2 linked regions of the Neurospora crassa OR74A genome follow. The protein of the gene in region 1 interacts with the protein of each later gene in a biochemical or structural test. Links are inferred from orthologs where the notes say so. Each region holds a gene or a part of one and is shown on either strand. Other genes may lie near its edges. The genes, in order: NCU02357 and NCU03905.

Region 1 (2,423 bases):
CCTTCCCTACTTGCCCGAGGTTATGCCGCCACTCCTCGAGCTTGCTAGCGCCAAGGCCGATATCCAGCTTCTGGAAGACGACGAGCAGATTGAGCAGCTACAGACCGAGGAAGGGTGGGAGCTTGTCCCGCTCCGTGGCAAGACTATTGGTATCCGTACCAGCACCATGGACGATAAGAACATGGCCATCGAGCTGCTCGTGGTGTACGCTCAGGTCCTTGAGGGTGACTTTGCGCCTTATGTCGCAGACATCATGGAGAAGATTGCTCTTCCTGGTCTGGCCTTCTTCTTCCACGATCCTGTCAGGTACATGTCTGCGAAGCTAGTTCCGCAATTGCTCATTTCATACAAGAAGCAGTACGGTCCCGGCTCCAACGAGCTCAAGGGCTTGTGGACCAGCACCGTCGTTCAGCTCCTCGACGTTCTTAGCGCCGAGCCTGCCATTGATACGCTCGCGGAGATGTATCAATGCTTCTATGAGTCCATCGAGGTCATCGGCACTGCCTGCCTCGATGAGACGCACATGGGCCGCTTCATCGACGGTGTCCACTCCACTCTTGAGGATTACAAGGATCGGGCAGCCGCTCGTGAGGAGGAGCAAGGAGGTGAAGATGGCGAGGACGAGTCGGAAGAGATGCAGATGGCCATTGAGGATGACCAGACTCTCCTTTCGGACATGAACAAGGCGTTCCATGCTGTTTTCAAGTACCACGGCGCAAGCTTCTTGAGCGCTTGGAGCCGCCTGCTTCCCACCTACAGCAGCTTCTTGAGCTCGAATGATACCACCCAGCGACAGTGGGGACTGTGCATTATGGATGATGTTCTAGAATACTGTGGTGCTGAGAGCATTCACTACGCCCAGTATATCTCGGAGCCTCTGCTCCTCGGCTGCCAGGATGCCTCTCCCGCTATTCGTCAAGCGGCTGCGTATGGCATCGGTGTGGCTGCCCACCATGGCGGCCAGGCTTGGGCGCCGTTGGTGGGCCAAGCCGTCGAAGTTCTCTTCAAGGCTACGCAGATCCCAGATGCGCGCAACGAGGACAATGTGTACGCTACGGAGAATGCCTGCGCTGCCATCGCCAAGATTCTGCATTTCAACTCTTCTCAAGTCGCCAACCCCGACCAGGTTGCGACACAGTGGTTTGAGACTCTGCCGGTCTTGAACGACGAGGAAGCGGCGCCCTATGCGTATGCTTTCATGACCCAGCTGATTGAAAAGTAAGTCTCTTGTCCTGACATGGCGAACTGGAAACGACTGACCCGCAAATAGGCAACATCCTGTCGTTATTTCGCAACCCGCTAAAGCTTTCTACTACGTCGCACAGGCGCTTGAGGTGGACGTTTTGAGCGGACAGACCCTCGCGCGCGTGATTGCCGCTGTCAAGAGCCTGTTGCAAGCAACCGGTACTTCGCCCGACCCCGTACTGCAGCAATTTGGCCCCGAATCTCAGCAGTTGATTCGGGAGCGGTTTAGCAGTTAAGAAGTGTCGGAGGTAGTGGCTGTGGAAGAGAGATGACATCGCTGATGGACGTAGGAGAAGGAAAAGCAAAACGTCGACTTAGGAAGATGGTGATCTACTTGGAAATCAGGATATAGATGGCATGGAACCAGAAGGGATCGACAGGAACTGGTAGGGAAATCATGGTAAGAGCGTGGAGAAATACTTGAGCACGCAATCAGGCTGTTGATGGCCTTGGTCATGTAGGGAAGAAGGCGAGAGGAGTCGAAGCGGAAATGTGAATTTGATGGAGATACCATGCACACCATAACGTTCCTTCGGCGCACGTAACCATTTATCACACACGTATAAAATCACATAAACACTTGTAAATGACTAGGATACCTAAGTAACATGGATCGTTCCAATCTTGCCTTTTACCAGTAGTTTGGGTGGGATACAGGAGAGATCGGAGGGTTGGATCTCTGCTACTGCTACATGAGCACATGTGTTGCGTCTTTGGTTGGAAAAGCTCACAGGTACTCGAGGGTCCTTGAATAGGTAGAATACAATGGAGTTGATGGACCACCAGCATCTGATAGCGGCGGGTATCTGCAGTATGGCATTGTAGTCTACATGGTACCCTCGATACATACCCAGATGGAGGCTGATCAGGGGTCTTTTCTTTGGGGTCCAACTAAAGCAGCCACACCAATTTTACAAACCTTGGGTCCGGGTCCCCCGTTCTGAACGGGAATGGGTGCATAGGACACTACAACTTTCAATTGTGTGCCATGGTCATATCATCATCCCTCTGACACTATCTGTACCTTGGCTGTTTTCTACGTTTGTGTGTGTACACTACATATGTCTGTATTACGCTACCGGCAAGGTTATGTACTCGAGGTCTATTGCCATCCGATAGGTGTACTCCAAAAACATCATCTTGCCCTAGTACTGTACACTATAATACGCAAGTGTCCA
Region 2 (4,289 bases), on another chromosome or scaffold:
CAGAGCACTTTGCTTTCTTCTGCAGATCGGAGCACAAGGCGTCCATATCAATCTCTTGGTTTTGTACACTGGAGCAACTGCGCAATTTGTCCCTGTTGAACATGTTAATAAAAGTCACATTTTCGAGGCCTCTCTCGGTTTGGTCATACCAGATCTTGCTGCAATCAAGTTGCTCTCTGACTCCATCATCCGATGCGTTGACCTCATCGATCTGAGCGATGAGATCCTTCTTCGGTGGTTGTGATTCTGCTTCGGGTTGTGGTGGCAGCAACCCTGGAGCTGTTGGTGGCAGATTATACGGTGCCAGGAAATCCGCATCGAATGCATCATTGGTCAACCAATCGTCAAATCCATTGTTGAGGACATTGTTCTGAGGCTCTCGGTAATCTCCGAAGAGCTGCGGATCAAACTGGAAATTGTCTTGAGGCAACCAGTTGAGAGTGTTGTCAACACCAAAAGTATTAAAGTCTAGAAAGTGTTGGTAAATTCTGGCCTATACAATCAGAGCGAACATTGAAGACTGGTGAATGCTTACCTGGCTGCCCTGAACCAATGACGCCTGGTTGCTCTTCTCCGATTGTGGCCATCGTATCTACTGACTTCAATCCGACGGGCGAATGAGTTAGAGGCTCTGGGGAGGTGCCACACGACGAACTAGCGCCACCCATGTTCGAAGCGCAAGAGGACGGGGAACTCGTTGACGTGCCGGCCCCCGCATTGTACTGAGAATCTGTTCCCCTGGTCGAAAAGTTCGCTCCCTCACCTCTTGCGGACTGAGGTGTGAAGAGATCGGCCGAGTAATGGGCCAAGTCTTCCTTGGTTTGTGTATCAAGGCCTATTTGGCCGTAATTGGGTGTAGTACCGGTGCTGACGCCATTCGTGGGTTGCTCCAGCCGACCTGTTGAAGACAAAGGGGGCGACACAGGGGTTCCCTTCTTGGTTTGATTTGCAGATTGTGGTCCAGGAAGAGGACCGCCAAACTTGGGGAATTCAAACTGGAAATTGACATCATTGAGGTTGCTGACAAAGGAGTTGCCGAACGGCATAGCCCGAGGTGATACCATCGGGGGTCGAGCTGTCATCAACGATAGACGCTTCTTGTACTCGTTCAGTTCGTTACTCATCTTCTCCATTTTCTTGCGAAGAATCTCGTTCTCATGGTTGGCAGTCTCGGAGATCTTCTTCAACTCTTCGACCTTGGTTTCAAGGTCCTTCAAGTGCTTTTCTTTGCGTTCTCTGAACGCTCGTTGAGCTGCTCGATTCTGGGCCTTGCGTTTCTGTTATTGTCACGTTAGTAGTCAATCCTTACTGAGACTCGAAAGGATCAATCGACCGAGGCAGGCTTACCGAGCTGGGCTCAGTGGTAAGAGGCTTCCTGCCGGGCTTTTTGGCAACTTTTCCCTCGCCCTCTCTCCTCTTTGGTTCGCTATTCTCCTCCTCGTCGTCATCCGGATGACTGCGCTTGTCGGGGGACTCCACATCGGCGGAGCCCGACTTGGAATCACTTGGAGCATTGGACCGATCGTCCGTCATGTGGGATTGATCACCAGTGTCGAAGTTGAAATCGAAGTTGGGGTCATGTTGTCCATCAAGGCCGTAGTCGTAACCGAAATTCGGGGTGTGCTGGAAACCCATAGGGTCGAGTCCTTGGGCAGACGTTCCGTTGTACATTGCGGATAGACCAGAGAGGTCGGCTTGTGTGTTGATGGGCTTGTTGGAATTGAGGGCGGCAAACAACAGGCTTTGTTGCTGCGGGGTGAGGACGAGATTGTGAAGAGGGTTCTGAGTCGACGTCATTTTCGGTTGTCTTGTATTGGAGATGGTGACTAAGAGGTAGAGCAGTCGGTTGAATCGAGGAAAGACCTTGGATGTTGAAAGGATGGGATGAATTCACTCTCGTGATCTGATCGCTCCTAGCGGTCGGAGCCGCACAGGCGGCAATTGTCGAGTATCAAGACCGCGGGTCCAATGGCAATGTGTTTTAGCGGAGGTCCGGGGTACCGGGCCCAAGATGTACGTATGTCCTGGTCGAAAACTGATGTCGGGGTAGATCAGATGCTAGTACGGGTGACGATAGAAAATCTCTTGCGGAGACGATGACGTTTCGACAGCACCGTAGACTGACTTTGGATCAGACGGGGACGAGCCAGCGGCCACGCAACTAGCAGCTTGAAAGGCAGAAAACTCGTTGAGCGTTGCGGGCTAGGACGGAATACCAAACCGGGCAGTTCCAGTTCCTGTCCAGTTCTCTCCCGCTTCTCTAGTTTTCGAGACTCAAGTCTTCTCCCAAGGAAGACGTTCGGTGTGAGGTGATGGGGTTTGCCGGGGGTCAAAACGAGAGGAAGGCAGTAGGATAACTTGAACTGAGACAGAAGAGAGGGGACTTGGTCCGAGTGGCAAGTTACAAAAGACGCGGATGTATTTGCACGGAATAGGTAGAGGTACCAGGGCGAAGTTGTGGCAGAAGGTGTAGAGAAGGGGGGAGAAAATTGCGAGTGCCCGAGATGTGAGCCGGAAAGGTTAACTGCCTGCTGGAACAGAACTAACCGTTGGCCGAGCCGAGTGGGTGGGATGGCGGCGGACGCTGACTTGAATTGATGGGCAAACCTATCGGCCTGACACCTGACTCACCTGGCACTCAGCCTTTCGGAATCCTGTCAGCAATTGGGTTCAGGAAATAAGGTACACGTATGATCCCGCGGGGGCTCCTTTTCTGCGATTGGAGAGGCGACGGCACAGGCTGCAGAGCAGGTTTGTGTTTCGTTGGTTCGCTGATACGATTCAGATCTGAGAAGGGAAGGACTCTTGGGCGGTCTTTGGCGATGGAGGGGACGAGACTAAGCGAGACCGTCCAAAAGCGGGCGAAAAGAGTGGACGCTCTTCTTTGGTTACAGGGCCAAACTCGTAGAATGCGGGCTACACGGGGCACAATTGGGCGCATGGACGCTTGGGGGTGTCCAAGTGGAGCGTGGAGGGGTTTCAGTCCAAAGTCAATTTGTCAGCGAAAATCAGTCGAAGGGAACGTCTGGATCGTTCCTGGACGGTCGGGTCGGGTGCGCCGTGACCGGCTCTGGCAACTGTCAGCACACCTTGACATGCCGACGACACCCCGAGTCGATTCGTTCAACAAAAGGACTGACAGTGAGTTCTATCAGATGCAGACAATCAATCAAAATCAGTCGGACCGTTTCCACAAAAGGTACCTCTATGTCGGTATCTTTTCCTATAAGGGATTTCTCTTGTTTCATTGCGTCCCACTACGTAGAGGATCACATTGACCGATTTGACGTGAGTGGGCTTCAAGCAAGAGCTGCCAGTGTCAATCTCTTGAACCGTACAAAAAAAGCCACTTTTTGTTTGACCTACACGTGTATGTACTACAGTATGTAGTTCTAGTCGGAGCCTCTCGAGTGCAGCCCGTCCACTTTTCATCGACGTGGAAATACATCAGTTTCCGCGGGTACCCCAAGTGGAGATTCTTGCAGGCAAAACACCGGAGTGGATAATAAGTGGCCTTTGTTCGACGGTGAAAGAGATGCACTCTCCTCTATCTCCGCATCAACTTGAGTTTTACAAACCTTAACCACAAATAGTGTACACTACACGTGTACTGTGTCCAAGCAAACAACAGCCAGGGGCATTTGTTTGAAAAATGGGCGCACTCGGTGTCGTGATTATCACCGTCGCAATTAGCTCGAGTCTGGCATGCTGGTTTGCCACTGAGACCTGAGTTCGAGACCCAGTCTCCCCATTGAAGATCCCACGTTGTTTCCGTCTTCCTGTCGGCAGTTCAGACGCCTCGTCGATAGGAAGCCCGCATGGCTTATCTCCGAGTGGCTACAAAATATACAATTCTCAGCTTACGGACAACTTGCCATCTGGTTTGGATTACCTGGCCAGCCTGGAGCCTGGACACAAAATCAGGCCATGTTGGACACACATGAGCTTGTCCCGTAGTCAGCTTCGGCTGCCACGGCGGGGAATCTCGAAGAACAATGTCACCGATTCATGTGGTTACCGTTTAAAAGTCGGGTGTCGAGTCTTGAATTGTCTTTTGTACCGATGGGAAAAGGCCCGTGCTGCCAGGAATGTCCTCCCGGCGGTGGTTGCTGCTCGCTGCAGTGCTTGCATCCATTTCCCCACAGTGGATGCGGCACCATGACACGGGCAAGACGGCAGCGCTACAGCTGCGGCGGGGATTCAAGGGAAGGGATCGATCAGCCTCCCATGGATCGATCCACCAGAAAACTGACATCCTCGACTGTTGCGCCAAACAATCAACACTTCGG

Evidence for each region.
Region 2: the proteins of NCU02357 (region 1) and NCU03905 form a complex in vitro, tested with the Saccharomyces cerevisiae proteins (2 studies listed by BioGRID). The link is inferred for Neurospora crassa OR74A from reciprocal best matches to the Saccharomyces cerevisiae genes PSE1 and YAP1.

What each region holds. Positions count from the first base shown.
Region 1 is NC_026507.1:2,761,793-2,764,215, forward strand, and holds the end of NCU02357 (importin subunit beta-3), read left to right. Parts: coding exon 1-1,218; intron 1,219-1,270; coding exon 1,271-1,481; 3' UTR 1,482-1,872; downstream 1,873-2,423. UniProt on the Saccharomyces cerevisiae protein: Functions in nuclear protein import as nuclear transport receptor. Serves as receptor for classical and arginine/glycine-rich nuclear localization signals (cNLS and rg-NLS) in cargo substrates.
Region 2 is NC_026506.1:2,106,467-2,110,755, forward strand, and holds the start of NCU03905 (hypothetical protein), read right to left. Parts: upstream 2,872-4,289; 5' UTR 1,798-2,871; coding exon 1,348-1,797; intron 1,278-1,347; coding exon 536-1,277; intron 469-535; coding exon 150-468; intron 93-149; coding exon 1-92. UniProt on the Saccharomyces cerevisiae protein: Transcription activator involved in oxidative stress response and redox homeostasis.